4 linked regions of the Macaca fascicularis genome follow. The main gene of each other region encodes a partner of the protein of the gene in region 4 in a complex. Links are inferred from orthologs where the notes say so. Each region holds a gene or a part of one and is shown on either strand. Other genes may lie near its edges.

The links. The genes of interacting proteins can lie anywhere in the genome.
Region 1: TAF1B (region 4) and POLR2E share a complex: the UniProt entries of both Homo sapiens proteins name them as parts of the pol I pre-initiation complex. The link is inferred for Macaca fascicularis from reciprocal best matches to the Homo sapiens genes TAF1B and POLR2E.
Region 2: TAF1B (region 4) and TAF1D share a complex: the UniProt entries of both Homo sapiens proteins name them as parts of the transcription factor SL1/TIF-IB complex. The link is inferred for Macaca fascicularis from reciprocal best matches to the Homo sapiens genes TAF1B and TAF1D.
Region 3: TAF1B (region 4) and POLR1C share a complex: the UniProt entries of both Homo sapiens proteins name them as parts of the pol I pre-initiation complex. The link is inferred for Macaca fascicularis from reciprocal best matches to the Homo sapiens genes TAF1B and POLR1C.

What each region holds. Positions count from the first base shown.
Region 1 is NC_088393.1:1,665,944-1,670,071, forward strand, and holds the start of POLR2E (DNA-directed RNA polymerases I, II, and III subunit RPABC1), read right to left. Parts: upstream 2,801-4,128; 5' UTR 2,756-2,800; coding exon 2,699-2,755; intron 1,511-2,698; coding exon 1,336-1,510; intron 1-1,335. UniProt on the Homo sapiens protein: DNA-dependent RNA polymerase catalyzes the transcription of DNA into RNA using the four ribonucleoside triphosphates as substrates.
Region 2 is NC_088388.1:92,775,366-92,779,603, reverse strand, and holds the start of TAF1D (TATA box-binding protein-associated factor RNA polymerase I subunit D), read left to right. Parts: upstream 1-1,438; 5' UTR 1,439-1,649; intron 1,650-2,377; exon of another isoform or gene 2,378-2,453; intron 2,454-3,604; 5' UTR 3,605-3,630; coding exon 3,631-3,698; intron 3,699-4,238. UniProt on the Homo sapiens protein: Component of the transcription factor SL1/TIF-IB complex, which is involved in the assembly of the PIC (preinitiation complex) during RNA polymerase I-dependent transcription.
Region 3 is NC_088378.1:128,003,812-128,008,019, forward strand, and holds the start of POLR1C (DNA-directed RNA polymerases I and III subunit RPAC1), read right to left. Parts: upstream 2,801-4,208; 5' UTR 2,780-2,800; coding exon 2,711-2,779; intron 2,584-2,710; coding exon 2,512-2,583; intron 553-2,511; coding exon 445-552; intron 187-444; coding exon 54-186; intron 1-53. Other genes in the region: protein YIPF3, read left to right, coding at 3,085-3,165, 3,801-4,007, 4,195-4,208. UniProt on the Homo sapiens protein: DNA-dependent RNA polymerase catalyzes the transcription of DNA into RNA using the four ribonucleoside triphosphates as substrates.
Region 4 is NC_088387.1:112,150,899-112,155,163, forward strand, and holds the end of TAF1B (TATA box-binding protein-associated factor RNA polymerase I subunit B), read right to left. Parts: intron 952-4,265; coding exon 750-951; 3' UTR 501-749; downstream 1-500. UniProt on the Homo sapiens protein: Component of RNA polymerase I core factor complex that acts as a GTF2B/TFIIB-like factor and plays a key role in multiple steps during transcription initiation such as pre-initiation complex (PIC) assembly and postpolymerase recruitment events in polymerase I (Pol I) transcription.

The sequences.
Region 1 (4,128 bases), on a different chromosome or scaffold from region 4:
CACCTGTAGTCCCAGCTACTCTGGAGACTAAGGCAGGAGAATGGTGTGAACCCGGGAGAAGGAGCGTGCAGTGAGCCAAGATTGTGCCATTGCACTCTAACCTGGGCGACAGAGCGAGACTCCGTCTCAAAAAACCAAATAAACAAATAAATAAACACTACTAAAAAAAGTAAAAGTAGCCAGGTGAGATGGTGTATGCCTGTAAACCTAGCTTTTTGTGGGAGGCTGAGGTGGGAGGATTGCTTCAACCCAGGAGGTGGAGGTTGCAGTGAGCCGAGATTGCGCCACTGCACTCCAGCCTGGGCGACAGAGAGAGAGACTCAGCCTCAAAAAAAAAAGAACAAGAAGAAGACCGGGCGCGGTGGCTCACGCCTGTAATCCCAGCACTTTGGGAGGCCGAGGCAGGCAGATCACCTGAAGTCAGGAGTTTGAAAGCAGCCTGGCCAACATGGTGAAACCCCCTCTCTACCAAAAATACAAAAAAAAAAAAAAAAAAGCCAGGTATGGTGGTGGGTGCCTGCAGTCTCAGCTACTCAGGAAGCTGAGGCAGGAGAATTTTGAACTCAGGAGGTGGAGGCTGCAGCGAGCCGAAATGGCACCACTGCACTTCAGCCTGGGTGACAGAATGAGACTTTCAAAAAAAAAAAAAGCAGTAGCATCACCCGCTTGGCAGACACGCTCCGTCCACCCCACTGATTAATTCTGGGCACGCGGCTGTGTCCCTAGGCGCTGGTAGTCCCCCAACCACTGAGGGCGCTAGAGCCATCCTGGGGGGGCAGACAGGTGGGGAGACTTCCACGGTGCAGGTGCTGAAACCGAGGGTCCCAGGGGTCCCGGGAAAAGCGGCCTGAGCACAACCTCGAGGGATGAGTAGCGGACGCTGACAGGGCAGAGGCGGCATGGGGTGCAGAGGAATGGGCTGGGGCAGACAGGGGCCACAGCTCACAAGGAGGCTGCGCTGACCCACACGGGGCCTCCTGGGCCAGGCCAAGAAGTTGGAAGTGCACCCAACGGCCAGGATGAGGGAGCCAAGGAACACAGGTAGGGCAAAGGTCATGAGGGGCTGCGGGTGAGTAGGGAGGTCCATGGGACTCTCCTGGTTGGCAGGAAGAAAGGGGACCGATGAGAGGGAAACCAGAAAGAGGCTGCGCATGAGAGGGGTCAGAGGTCCACGGCATCGCCCACAGCAAGGAAGAGGAGGGGAAGTTTTCCTCCCAGATTGGGCAGAGGATCAAACGCTGGGCACGAGGCGGGAGGGAGGGGGTGCTAGCGGCCGGCTCCTCAGCAGGTGCTCGGGCGGCTCCACCAGAACTCCCCCGGGGACCCGCTGCTCACCTGGAAAGAACACAAACATCTGGTCGGTGGGGTCATCGTTGTGGGCCACCAGCACGGTGAGGTCAGTGCGCCGCGGCCGCCCCTCACTCGGCTTGTCTCCAAATTGGGCTTTGAACTCCTCCAGTGTCTGGTCAAGCTCGTCCTGGGTCACTAGGTAGCCACGGTCGTGGCACAGCTGCAGAGAGAAAGAACCAGCTGACCCCAGGGCAGAGACAGGAAGGCGGCCAGAGCTCGTGACCCAGAAGTCAGACCTGCGGCTGCTGCAGAGGACAGAGGTGAACAGCAAACGGAATGAACACTCGCTGTGTGCCCCATGACAGCCATCCTGGCCCCCACAGCCCCACACCACAGGATGGGACCAGCGTGATCCCGAGAGGCTCGCAGAGGTGTCCAGCCTTGACCAAGACCGTCCGTCTATCCAGCCTCACAGGAACCTGGCAGGGGGCAAAGCCCTCCAAACCACTTTGCAGAGCTACCCTAAAGACAGGGACAAAGACGGGGCGTGGGGGGTCACGTCCGCGACCCCAGAGCTCAGGGAGGCCGAGGCAGGAGGGCTGCTTGAGGCCAGGAGTTCAAGGATGCAGTGAGCTATGACTGCACCACTGCGCTGCAGCCTGGGCGACAGAGTGAGAGCTTGTCTCTTAAAAAAAAAAAAAAAAAAGACAGGGACCGAAACAGATGTGACTTCAGGCTGACAATGTTTGCGGCCCGGAGGAAGGAGAATCAGGCTGCGGGGGGCTGCGCTAAAGACAAGGGCATAGGGTGGGGAAGCAAGACAAAACAAAAGCTCCCAAACGGCCCCAACGGCTGAGGGAGGACCCTGAACCGCAGGCCCTCAGACATTTGCCCAGTTTCCAAACCGGAGTCGGCCCAGTGGCCTCCATCTGTCTCAGACCCCGAGGCACGGGTTCCGGGCTCCACGTCCCCATCGAAAGCCCCAGCTCGCCTGCTGCTTCCCAACCACCAACTCCGCCAGCCTCGGATGCTGAGACGCCCTGGGGTTCAGGGCGCAAGGACAAATGGCGACGCTGAATCACAGAGTGGGGCAGGGTCTGGGGGCGCCCCCCGTCCCCATTCGCACCTTCCTCCTCTCGCCGCCATGTGCGCCGCACCAGCCCAAGCCGCCCGCCCACCGCTAAGCCCCGCACCCAGACGTCTCGAAACCCCCTCCCTTCCCCGCTGCCGGCTCAGGTCGGGCCCAGCGCCTGGGATCCCCGGCGGCCTCGGGGTCTCCCGTGTCGGCCGGGCCCTCCGTCGCTGCTGCTGCTGCGACGGGAGTACGAGGAGACGCCGAGCTCGACCTCCCCTCGGGCCCCTGCACCTGCTGCTCGCGCCCCCGCCCCCAACACCACGCGCGGCTCACCTGCATGATGGTCTTGCGGATTTTCCAGAGCCGGTACGTCTCCTCCTCGTCGTCCATCGCCGCCACTCGCACCCGTTTTGCCTGCGAGAACCCGCGCGGACTGCGCCTGCGCCGACTCCCAATCAGGCCCCCTCCACGTAACCCCGCCCCGCGATGGGCTGTCGTCGGCGAACGCCTGAATGCAGCAACTTCCGGGATCGGCAGCGCCAAGGGCAGCCCGAGCCTTGCGAGAACGGCAGTTTGCTGCGCGAGACTCTCCCTCCGTAGTTCTCGTGTGTCTTTGGCTGCACGGCCTCTTGGGAGTTGTAGTTTCCGTTCAACTCCCACGTTGCGGGGACAGTTTAGAATCCCATAAGGCGGGGGCGAAGTGTGGGCGGGGAAACTGAGGCCTGGAATGGGTAAAGGGGCAGCTCGGCTCCTAGGGACGGTCGGGGAGCCTAGTGGGAACTCTATACATATTTGTGCATCAAACTGTACAGGGTTTCCTCTGTTGGCTCCAGGCCAGGTCAGGGTTAATGCCCTTGGGCCTCAGTTTCCCTACCTGTGCAATGGCAAAAAGTGTCCCTACTTTAGGCGGTTAACTGAGAGTCTTAGGTAGAGCTAGGCATATCTCTAGGTGCTTTTTAAGTCCCTTCACCTCTGTCCTCTCCCCTGAGTGCCAGCCTAGCCTGGGTATCTCCCCACCCCAGATCCGTCCTGTCTTTGCAAACCTCACCTCCCCAGATTCACGGAGGATCCCAGCCCAGCACTCGCTGTGTGAAGGCAATCAGTCACTGACTCAGTGACGCATTCATTAATTCAGCATTTACTCAGCAACCTACAGTGATGGTGAATAAAAACAGGCCAGGTATCCCTTGCATTCAGAGACAGGATTTAGTAAAATAACGTTACTGGGCGCAGTGGCTCATGCCTGTAATCCGAGCACTTTGGGAGGCTGAGGTGGGCAGATCACGAGATCAGGAGATCGAGACCATCCTGGCTAACACGGTGAAACCCCATCTCTACTAAAAATACAAAAAATTAGCTGGGCCAGGTGCCCGTAGTCTCAGCTACTCGGGAGGCTGACGCAGGAGAATCTCGTGAACCTGGAAGGGGGAGGTTGCAGTGAGCCGAGATCGCGCCACTGCATTCCAGCCTGGGCCACAGAGTGAGACTCTGTCTCAATAAATAAATAAATAAATAAATAAATAAATAAATAAATAGGACAGGCGCAGTGGCTCATGCCTGTAATCCCAGCACTTTGGGAGGCCAAGGTGGGTGGATCATGAGGTCAGGAGTTCGAGACCAGCCTGGCCAAGATGGTGAAACCCTGTCTCTACTAAAAACTACAAAAATTGGCCAGGCGCGGTGGCTCAAGCCTGTAATCCCAGCACTTTGGGAGGCCGAGATGGGCGGATCATGAGGTCAGGAGATCAAGACCATCCTGGCTA
Region 2 (4,238 bases), on a different chromosome or scaffold from region 4:
ACTTTTCCCCTTCTTTTTGGACAAGGGACGCTGCATTTACATTTTGCATTGAGCCTCACAAATTACAGAGCTAGGCTTGCTGCTGAATATGGCAGTGAGGGACATGCCATACCAGTCCTGGAGCTTAGTCACTGCCCAGCCCCTGTGGATCAAATGCAGTGTCAGACTTTTTATCCCCGAAATTGTCCAATCTATGGAGCAAAGGAGGGTAAAGAGACCAGATTACTTTTAAGGCACGCGCTATCCTAAAATGATGTAAACTATAAAATAAGATTAGACAGCTTTACTGGTTTTTGCGGTGTATCATATGAAAACAGAAGTTTGAAACCAGAAAAATCAAACCAGTTCAATCCTTTTAAAAATTTCTTTGGGAGGCCGGTGGCTCACGCCTGTAATCCCAGCACTTTGGGAGGCCGAGGCGGGTGGATCACCTGAGGTCAGGAGTTCGAGACCAGCCTGACCAACATGGAGAAACCCCGTGTCTCCTAAAAGTACAAAAAAATTAGCAGGGCATGGTGGCACATGCCTGTAATCTCAGCTACTTGGGAGGCTGAGGCAGGAGAATCGCTTGAACCCGGGAAGCGGAGCTTGCGGTGAGCCAAGATCGCGCCATTGCACTCCAGCCTGGGCAACAAGAGCGAAACTCGGTCTCAAAAAAACCCCAAAAAACCGAAAAACAAAAAAAAAAAACAAAAAACTTTCGAAGAAAAAAACCCCACCAAAACTAAACTAGTTTACACAGCTTAATCTTAACTCAGGAACTGGTCAAGGAACTAATGGTGGGGGGCGGGGGGGATGTAGGAGGAAACTGAGGAAAAAGAAATCCTCCACAGGTCTCACTTGTGACGTGTTAGCCAATTCCTGGGAGGCAGAAAGGGTGAGCTCCCGAAACAGGTGCAAAGGTGGGGAGGAGACCTGGGCGTGCTACGGCATAACACTGGCGTCCAGCACAAAGGTTACAAACTTCGAGTAACCTTCCCGAATATTTTCACACACAAGGGTTTTGAAGGCAAAAGTAGACACAGGATGACAAAACACTCATTCACACATCCCACCCGTCACCCTCACCACATACTCGGGACCAGGTTTAGAAAGCCGGGAGACAGCTCAGCAAACGCGAGACCACCGGAAACGACCCGGGCTGAGAGGCTGTTTCCTCGCAGTTCTCATCCACTCACAATTGGCCGCACATTTTCTTTTTGTTATTTGCCGAAATGTTCTTGGCTATTCCACTTACCGAATCGGTCACGCAAGCAAAACACCAGAATCCCGATCTCCGCCTACGCCAACCCCGCCTCCTCAGAGTAAGCGAGCTACAGCTCCGCCCACGTTAGTCGCTCCTCCCTGCGCGGCGAGAAAAATGGCGCCCCCGCGTCGCGACTCCTCCCACCGCTCGCCTTCTTCCCGGGAGCTAAATTGTATCGCGAGATTTCTGCCTGACTATTACTTGGGCCGCGGGGATATCCCACCCTTTTCTTCCGCGCGGTTGGAGGACATCGGCTAGTTTTCCGGAGTTGGAGGACTGAAATCGGGAGGGTGGTGTGTGCAAATCTCCAGGACTCACGCACCAGGCCAGTCGCAGGTTTTGGCCCGAGGCCTGGGTTACGGGCAGCAAGTGCGCGGTTGGGGCCGGTGTGAGGCGGTTTTAGGTAGGTTGCCAAGAGGGCAAGGCCGTCTGGGCTTGTTGGGCAGGGGAGGCATTGCATATCTGGGGTTTCGGCCCCTGCGTTGTTCCGGAGGATTGAGCCTCGGAAGTCGGGCCGAGAGGGTGAAGGGATCACGGTTGCAGGCCACTCCGCGCCACGCGGCTGGTATGAGGCCCACAAACGTGGTTGTAGTGTGGGCGGGCTTCATTATATCTTGAGATGGAGGTGTTAAAACGTGTTGCAGACAAGTTTAACCTTCTTAACGTAATTTAAATGATTTAACCTTCATATGTGAGGTACCCATTGATAGCGCCGGTTTCCTGGAGGTTAGGCGCTGCCCGGAGAGACGCGCTGGTGGTCACAGAATTAGCTCCGGGTAAAGCGCCGCTTTCTGCCCACGTGGCCTCTAAGAATTGCAGAATTCCAGCGGATGCATCGACACCCAAGTAGGAGTGTCTTCTAAACACTAAGAAAAAAGTGATTCTTGAGCTAGCTTTATTTTGATAATCCCTACTTTAAAAAAAAATTAACCACAGGTATACCATTAATGCATGGGGCCAAATTTTTGTTGAATTCCGTTTTTGAGCATTCGATATATAATGACTTCGTAGAATCCTGTACTTAAGCTAATAAGACGTACTACCAGAAAATTACCACAGGGGTCCATTGGGCATTTAACAAATCTGAGCTCTTGGTAACCTTATCGTTTTATATTTTAAATGTTTTGCTAGTTCATCCTAGGATTTATATGCAATGACTCATGTTAGGTCCCAAGAAGCTACAGAATGAGACAAGAGATTGACTAAGGCAAGTACAATAGTGAAATAAGTAGTTATCCTTCATTTTTGTTGCCATGCCTATTTTTTTTTTTTTTTTTTTTTTTTTCTGAGACAGGGTCTTGTTCTGTCGTCCAGGCTGGGGTGCAGTGGTGCAATCTCGGCTCACTGCAACCTCCACCTCTGCTCAAGCGATCCTCCCGAGTGGCTGGGAGCACAGGCACGGGTCACCACACCTAGCCAGTATCTTAAGAATTTTTTGTAGAGACAAGGGTCTCCTTGTGTGCTGAGGCTCACTACATACAACTTCCACCTCCCAGGCTCAGGTATTCACCTACCTCAGCCTCCTGACCACAGGCGCGCGCCACTAGCCCGGCTAATTTTTGTATTTTTTGTAGAGACGGAGTTTCACCACGTTGCCCAGGTTGGTCTTGAGCTCCTGGGCTCGAGCGATCCGCCCGCCTCGACCTCCCAAAGTGCTGTGTTACACAGGCCTGAGCCACCCAGACCAACCTGTTTTTTCTTTTAGCTCACAAGAAGGAATCTTTTTTTTCTTCTTTTTTTGGCATGTTGTATACTCTACCATGGGGATGAAAACACAAAGAATTATGATAGTTTATTGAAAAAGGTTGAGAATTCAGAACTTGTCAGTTTCCACCAATAATGGCAAAGATACAGTATGACAAAGTTCAGTTACTTAAATGAATCTAGGAATGAAGAATCTAGGAATTATAATGGAGAGGTGATCAGGGTCTGTTGATTGGAGATCCTTTTCCTGGTTTATATAGGGCACATTTTGCCTTAGGAATTCCCTCTTTGATCTTGGAAAATGGTTTTTAATTTTACATTAATACTGTATTGGTAATTGCACGTTAGTAAGTGGCTAATGATAAAACTGTATTTTCTACTTATATTGAAAGATGCTTTTTTTGGAAGTGACAGTACTTTTTTGGAATCTTGTTCCATTGAATACATTTAGAGGGTAAAAACTGAAAGAACCTGTGAATAGAATTTCTGGATTTCTTTTTAAAGAAATTGATCTGAAATGGATAAGAAGGTTAACCCCGGCAAATGATTTTGCCTAAAATCAGTGGCATAGTCTGACCATGTTGAATATTATAGTAGATACTGTGTCAATATTTAGGGAAGCTTTGTCACATTTACTAAATTTCATAATTTCAGAAAACTGTTATAAAACAAAGCAATTGATGGATAAATCAGGAATAGATTCTACCGACCATGTGACATCTGATGCTATGGAACTTGCAAATCAAAGGTAAGTGGGTTTTTACTGGAGAACTGAGTGGATTCAATCATATTTATTGTATCTGAATTATGAGAAATTATTTTATATAATGAGTGACAGTAAAGATGATTTTCAGGAATTGGGAAAGAAGGAAAACCAGATTTCACTGACCTTCCAGGTTTATCTAGTTAATGTAGATTGATAATAGCATTGCAAATACTTTAAATTCAAAATGTGAATATATTATAATGGGACACATTCTTCAAGAAAAAAATGTATTCTTTGGGTCATATTAGCATCTCTTCCAGACTACCTCTTCCTGTTTCTGTCTGGTAGGCTGTGTTTGTTTTACTCACTCTTAGCAGTGAACCAAACCATACAGCCTTTGTGGAGCTCATACACCATACAGCCTTTGTGGAGCCATACGTTATCTTAAAAGATACATAGTTTTTTGCTAAGCTGAGCACAGTGGTGCATGCCATTAGTCCTAGCTAGCTACTTGGGAGGCTGAGTCAGGAGCATCCCTGGAGTTCCAGGAGTTTGAGGTTGCAGTGAGCTGTGATTGCACCA
Region 3 (4,208 bases), on a different chromosome or scaffold from region 4:
AACCAGGATTTGAACCCAGACAGTCCACTTCTCCCAAAATTTCATTTTCTTACCTTGATTCCGATACTCAAAAAGACGGGGATCAGCATGAATGGGAATGAGCCCCAGACGGTGAGCAAGGATCTCATCCTGAACAATGGATGTATTATTGTACACCAGGACCTTCTCCACAGCCATAGTTGGCACCTGCCCAAGGAAAAATAACCACTTATCTGCAAAAACCCAACAGACCCCCTACCTATCCCCACAACCCCACCCTCCAGAGGTAAGGAGCTATCTCTCTTCCTAGAATGTTTAATGAGAAATTTACAAAGAATGAGAAGGTAAAATGCTCAGCAAAATTCCAGGAAAAATGAGGGAAGGACAGCTTGAGACAATTCTCCAAGTGAGGTGTCAGTGCAGTTCCCAAAGCAACTCCAGCCTTGTCACCATGCCTGCCAATACCTCAGCTAACAGAATTCGTCGAAAAGCATTGGCAATGGCTGCGTCAATTCCCACCATGTCGAACTCCAGTGAGTTTTCATCCATGTGTACTACATCCACACGGAAATTCTAGAGGGACAGGAAAAACATTTAAGTGAAACCTGCTCTCTCTGTAATATCTCTTCATACCTCCCCCTTAGATAATTCCCTCAAGTATTATCCTCTCATCCAAAAACCTCCCTTTGCCCAGATGTCCCTTATTAAATATTCTTTCTCGCCCAGTGCTTTAGTTTCATAAAAAGTCTCCATTTTTGTCGTCCATTCATTAAAACCCTATGCAATATGGCTTCCAACCAAACCATCCACAGAAGCTATTCCACTAAAGAACAGAAACTACCATAGTGCTTAGTCCTGTTGACACTACCCAGTCCTCTTACTAGACTTCTGTTATGCTTGACATTGATTAAAAAACCTCCTCTGGGCCCAGCACGGTGACTCACACCTGTAATCCCAGCACTATGGGAGGCCGAGGGGCGGATCACAAGGTCAGGAGTTTGAGACCAGCCTGGCCAGCATGGTGAAACCCCGTCTCTACTAAAAATTCAAAAAATTAGCTGGGCATGGTGGCGCGTAGCTGTAGTCCCAGCTACTCGGGAGGCTGAGGCAGGAGAACTGCCTGAACCCAGGAGGCGGAGGTTGCAGTGAGCCAAGATTGCACCACTGCACTCCAGCCTGGGAGATAAGAGTGTCTCATGAAAAGGAAAAAAAAAAAAAAAATCCCCTTTTTTGAACGATTCCCCTGGTTTCTGAGCTCCACTCTTCTTCCATCTCTGATGATCAACTTCCACCCATCTCTAAATTTGCCAGGTTCTTGTCTCTCTCCCAGGTCACCTTAACTGTACTAACAGTTTTAGCAACTATCTGTTCTGACAACTCCCAAAATTTTATCTCACTTCTGATCTCATTTCAAGCATGCAGTCTTCTAGCCTGCTAGATTTCCCCACATACAGAAAACAATGCATCATCATCCCTGTTCCCCAGACCCATTTCTCCTCTTAGTAAATGATACCACAAAGCAAAAAGCAGTTCCCAAGCCAGAAAAAGTCATTTTATGCTACCCCCACAGCCTTTATCCAAGCAATCATAAATTTACCTTATATTCTTCCTTTGCTCTATTTCTACCATCAGTCTTAGTTCATATCTTCAACCTCAGCTTCCCTTACGACAGATCTGCCTGCTCCATATGATCCTCCTCAAACTCATTCCCTCCCAGCCATCAAGGTTGCAAATCTGATCATGTCTGCTTAAGAAACTATTCAAGCTCCCTATCATCCACAGTGTGACACACTTCAATCTTGCCGACCACTCATGCCAGAACTACTTGGACATTCCCGGAGCACATGTCACAGAAGTCATAATTTTTTTTCAAGCATTAGCCTTTTTCATTGTTCATACTTTATTCCTTGTATCAACAGGTTAAAAAAGTAAAATTTTCCCAGGCACTGATTTACACATCATGTTTATAAGCTGCATAAAGGGTAACATTTAGGTCAGTTGCATAAAGGGTAACATTCAGTAATCTATTTAAATGCAATTTTAACCCTTATTTTAAGCTAAGTGAAACAATAATACAAAAGACTAAATACACACAAAACCTGCATATCCTGAACTTCACTGACGTGAAACTCAAATCTTTCATAATTCAACTCCTGTTTTTTTTTTTACTTACCATTCAAGGTTCAATTCAGGTGTCCCCTCCTCTTGAAATGTTAAGTACCTCTCGGCCCCTCTTCCTGGTCTCAGCGGAATGCTCCCCACCCCAACCCTGCCGTCTTCATCGCTATCAACCACCTTCACCATATTACACTAGATGCACTTGTTTATACGCACCATTCCTCAACAAGACGGAATATCTCTGCAGAGATAGAAACCGTGTCTAATTTGGCCTGTAAACGGAGCGTCTAGCACATTGCTCAACAAACACAAACGGAGCGACCCCCAAAAGCAGCTGCTGAGACAGACACAGGCTGCTCAGGCCACAGGGTCTGGCCTTCATAACCCTCCCCAGACAACTTCGGCCCCACTTACCTTCTCGAAGCGGTCCTGGTCCCAGGCATCATCATAACCGGAATAGTTTCCGGGAAAGTCAGTGGTATGGACCTAGAGCAAAGGGACGAGTTTGTCCACAAAGGGACAATGAGCCCACGGCTATCCCCACGCCAATCCCAAGACCCACCCCTGTTCCGCTCTCATTCCTCCCGCCCGAGCTCAAGGCCACAAGGCTTACATTGCGAACCCCAAACTCCCCTAGAACCACGCGGCCCCGCATCTCCTCCACCGCCTGAGAAGCCGCCATCTTCAATCTCTCCACGAGACTGGAGGCTCTATCTGGCGCGTGCGTCCTAGTAGACTGGCTCCGTCTCCGTGGCAACGCGCCACCGCCTGGAATCTTAAATATCGCGAGACTTTTCCCCGCTTCCGTCCACGTCCCCAGCCTCCGGAAGTTGGTTTTGTCCAAACATCCGGGCTTCTCTTTTTTGTGTTCCGGCCGATCCCACCTCTCCTCGACCCGGGACGTCTCCCTCACTAAGGCCCACGTCTCGCCCACTCCTCCGCGCGCGGGGCTAGCGCGGGCTTCAGCGACGGGAGCCTTCAAGGGACATGGCAACTACAGCGGCGCCGGCGGGCGGCGCCCGAAATGGAGCTGGCCCGGAATGGGGAGGGTTCGAAGAAAACATCCAGGTAATGGCCCCAAGGCACTAGCTGCCAGCAACCCGAGGGCCAGCGATGTCCAGAAGTGTCTTGAGGATTCTCCCTGTGGGCCTGGAAGTCCGCTCCATTTGCAAAACTCTCTTCTTTGGGTCTTCGTGCACACTAAAGTCAGTAGGATTAACATTGACCTGAAAGGGCCAGACTAGTACTCCAGCCTGAGGGTCTCGGGTCTCTGGGCCCGCTCGAGGCATTAGGAAGAAGGTATTCTTGGAACAAGTTAGGAAGTTGGTCGGGGTCAGGCATGGAGTGGGGTTGGGTGGGGATTCACTGGCATTCGCTGAAAACATATTATGTGTATAGTTTTGTTTGGGGCTTAGGAAAGAAGGAAATGGGCACTTTTTCAGCCTTTTAGTCTTTGGTAGGTAAGGTAGGAAAAAGACAGGAATGGAAGACTAGTAGTATGTTTCCCAGGCTAGAAAATTCAGCCAAAGCTAGAAACCAAGAGTTCTGAGAGCATATGAGGGGGAATGGAGTGGCATGATCTGTAGTGATTCCGAGCCGTATCCTCAGCAGTGGAAGAACAAAGCCCTAAACCCTGGGATGAGCAGAGGACTTAATGGATGGAACAGAAAAGTCCTGCACTCTAGGAGCCATTGTCTTCACAGGGCGGAGGCTCAGCTGTGATTGACATGGAGAACATGGATGATACCTCAGGCTCTAGCTTCGAGGATATGGGTGAGCTGCATCAGCGCCTGCGCGAGGAAGAAGTAGACGCTGATGCAGCTGATGCAGCTGCTGCTGAAGAAGAGGATGGAGAGTTCCTGGGCATGAAAGGCTTTAAGGGACAGCTGAGCCGGCAGGTGGCAGATCAGGTAAGCATGATTGAATCTTCTGCAGGTGGAAAGGTATACCTAGGTATGTCCCATGTTCTGGAGTTGGTGTTGGTGATGTTTGCCCCAGGTTGTCCAGTTAGAACCATGTAGAAATCAAGCGGAAAATAGGCAACAGGGTCTAGAACCAACAGTCCCACAATACCTATGCCCATCTTCCTTACTTCAGATGTGGCAGGCCGG
Region 4 (4,265 bases):
AACATTCATATTTGTTTTCTACTAATACTTTTATATTTTTAAATATGAAAGATTACGTTTAGATCTTTGATCCATCTGGGATTTACTCTGGGGTGTAAAGAATAAGGAAGAGATCTACTTTAAAAAATAAATTTAGCTTTAAAATACAACGAGTATACATTTCTGGATACAACTATACAATTTACTGGCTGGGCACGGTGGCTCACACCTATAATCCCAGCACTTTGGGAGGCCGAGGTGGATGGATCACGAGGTCAGGAAATCAAGACCATCCTGGCTAACATGGTGAAACCCCATCTCTACTAAAAACAAACAAAAAAATTAGCGTGGTGGCGGGCACCTGTAGTCCCAGCTACTTGGGAGGCTAAGGCAGGAGAATGGCATGAACCTGGGAAGTGGAGCTTGCAGTAAGCCAAGATCGTGTCACTGTACTCCAGCCTGGGCAACAGAGCAAGACTCTGTCTCAAAAAAATAAATAAATAAATAAATAAATAAATAAATACAATCATATAATTTACTGTTGTTTTAACTTTCTCTTAGAATATTCATACTCTGAAAAATAAAATCAAACAAAGCTCACCTGCTTTATAATATACAATTTTCTAAGCACACTTGACATATATGTAAATATGTGTCAGAGCATATACATATATATGCAGTATTTTCCACAATTCTCTGGAATGTTATATTAAAATCTGATGTTATATCAATACTAAAATATTTTTCCAGAAAGTTTCTATTTCATTTTCTCAATGTCGTCTCGCTTTCTTGGATCTTGATTTCTTTTTTGTTACACTATATTTTTTCTCGAAAAGTTTCTTCTCAACTAAGCTCACTTCTTCATGGAGAAGGGAAGTCTTTATTCTGAGCAGGAAGGAGAAGAGATTTAGTATAAACTGATAACTCAGAGAATAATTTGATTCTTCATAGGTTGTCACGTGTGTACAATAGCTAGAAGGGAAAAAGAAAAAAGAATTTCTCTTTAGATGGTAACCAAGAAAGGCACACACTAACCCCTGAACATCTCCCCAAATAACAAATATATATGGTTAGGCTTAAAACAGGACCCTGAGCTGGAAGGAAACCTAGAAGAATTTGGTAACTCCTTAACTGCACAAAGGAAAACATGTTCACACTGTCCACGGCCACCACACAAGGGCCACAGGTGGTGCTAGGAGCTGGTCCTTCAACTCTCTGCTCGAAGTTTCTTCACTCCAGATGGGGCACCACTCCACCTTCTTACCATGGTCAAGGCAAACAAAAGCATACAAGGAGATATTCTGAACATATTTCTTTTTTTTTTTTTTTTTTTTTTGAGACAGAGTTTCGCTCTGTTGCCCAGGCTGGAGTGCAGTGGCCGGATCTCAGCTCACTGCAAGCTCCGCCTCCCGGGTTTACGCCATTCTCCTGCCTCAGCCTCCCGAGTAGCTGGGACTACAGGCGCCCGCCACCTCGCCCGGCTAGTTTTTTGTATTTTTTAGTAGAGATGGGGTTTCACTGTGTTAGCCAGGATGGTCTTGATCTCCTGACCTCGTGATCCGCCCGTCTCGGCCTCCCAAAGTGCTGGGATTACAGGCTTGAGCCACCGCGCCCGGCTCTGAACATATTTCTAAAACAAACTAAAGAAAACAAATAATCCCCGACTTCCACCCAACATAAGACACTAGACTTTTTTTGTTGTTGTTGTTGTTTTTTTTTTTTTTTTTTTGAGACAGAGTCTCGCTCTGTCGCCTGGGCTGGAGTGCAGTGGCCGGATCTCAGCTCACTGCAAGCTCCGCCTCCCGGGTTCACGCCATTCTCCTGCCTCAGCCTCTCGAGTAGCTGGGACTACAGGCGCCCACCACCGCGCCTGGCTAATTTTTTGTATTTTTTAGTACAGACGGGGTTTCACCGTGTTAACCAGGATGGTCTCGATCTCCTGACCTCGTGATCCGCCCGTCTCGGCCTCCCAAAGTGCTGGGATTACAGGCTTGAGCCACCGCGCCCGGCCGACACTAGACTTTATAATGTAGCTTGCAATACTATATGTACTGTAGGAGAAGAGTTTACCAAGCAATTTCCCTTATTTTAAAATAGTAAAGCCTTCCATTCCAAAACGGCCAAATAGGAACAGCTCTGGTCTGCAGCTCCCAGCATGATCGATGCAGAGACAGGTGATATTTGCATTTCCAACTGAGGTACCTAGTTCATCTCATTGGGACTGGTTGGACAGTGGGTGCAGCCCACGGAGGGCAAGCCGAATCAGGGTGGGGCATTGTCTCACCTGGGAAGGGATTTCCCTTTCCTAGCCAGGGGAAGCTGTGACAGACTACACCTGTAAAATAAGGACACTCCCGCCCAAATACTGCACTTTTCCAACGGTCTTACCAAACAGCACACCAGGAGATTATATCCTGAGCCTGGCTCAGCTGGTCCCTCGCCCATAGAGCCTTGCTCACTGCTCGTGCAGCAGTCTGAGATCAACCTGTGAGGCAGCAGCCTAGCAGCTGGAGGGGCGTCTGCTATTGCTGAGGCTTAAGTAGGTAAACAAAGCAGCTAGGAAGCTTGAACTGGGCAGAGCCCACCGCAGCTCAGCAAGACTTGCTGCCTCTGTAAACTCCACCTCTGGGGGCAGTGCGTAGCTGAACAAAAGACAGCAGAAACTTCTGCAGACTTAAACGTCCCTGTCCGACAGCTCTGAAGAAAGCAGTGGTTCTCCCAGCATAGCATTTGAGCTCAGGACAGACAGACTGCCTCCTCAAGTGGGTCCCTGACCCCCATGTAGCCTAACTGTGAGACGCCTCCCAGCAGGGGCCAACTGACACCTCATACAGGTGGGTGCCCCTCTGGGACAAAGCTTCCAGAGGAAGGATCAGGCAGCAGTATTTGCTGTTCTGCAGCCTCCACTGGTGATACCCAGGCAAACAGGGTCTGGAGAGGACCTCCAGCAAAATCCAACAGACCTGCAGCTGAGGGACCAGACTGTTAGAAGGAAAACTAACAGAAAGGAATAGCATCAACATCAACAAAAAGGACATCCACACCAAAACCCCATCTGTAGGTCACCAACATCAAAGACCAAAGGTAGATAAAACCACAAAGATGGGGAGAAACCAGAGCAGAAAAGCTGAAAATTCTAAAAACCAGAGCACCTCCTCTCCTTCAAAGGATTGCAGCTCCTCGCCAGCAACGGAACAAAGCTGGATGGAGAATGACTTTGACGAGCTGACAGAAGTAGGCTTCAGAAGGTCGGTAATAACAAACTTCTCTGAGCTAAAGGAGGATGTTCGAACCCATCGCAAGGAAGCTAAAAACCTTGAAAAAAGATTAGACAAATGGTTAACTAGAATAAACAGTGCAGAGAAGACCTTAAAAGACCTGATGGAGCTGAAAACCACGGCACGAGAACTATGTGATGCATGCACAAGCTTCAGTAGCCGATTCGATCAAGTGGAAGAAAGAGTATCAGTGATTGAAGATCAAATTAATGAAATAAAGTGAGAAGAGAAGTTTAGAGAAAAAAAGAGTAAAAAGAAACAAACAAAGCCTCCAAGAAATATGGGACTATGTGAAAAGTCTACGTTTGATTAGTGTGCCTGAAAGTGACAGGGAGAATTCAGGAAATACAGAGAACACCACCCCTTGAGAAGAGCAACTCCAAGACACATAATTGTCAGATTCACCAAGGCTGAAATGAAGGAAAAAACGTTAAGGGCAGCCAGAGAGAAAGGTCAGGTTACCCAAAAAGGGAAGCCCATCAGACTAACAGCGAATCTCTCAGCAGAAACTCTACAAGCCAGAAAAGAGTGGGGGCCAATATTCAACATTCTTAAAGAAAAGAATTTTCAACCCAGAATTTCATATCCAGCCAAACTAAGCTTCACAAGTGAAGGAGAAATAAAATCCTTTACAGACAAGCAAATGCTGAAAGATTTTGTCACCACCAGGCCTGCCTTACAAGAACTCCTGAAGGAAGCACTAAACACGGAAAGGAACAACCGGTACCAGCCACTGCAAAAACATGCCAAAATGTAAAGACCATCGATGCTAGGGAGAAACTGCATCAACTAACAGGCAAAATAACCAGCTAACATCATAATGACAGGATCAAATTCACACATAACAATATTAACCTTAAATGTAAATGGACTAAGTGCCCCAATTAAAAGACACAGACTGGCAAATTGGATAGAGTCAAGACCCATCAGTGTGCTGTATTCGGGAGACCCATCTCATGTGCAGAGACACACATAGGCTCAAATAAACGGATGGAGGAAGATCTACCA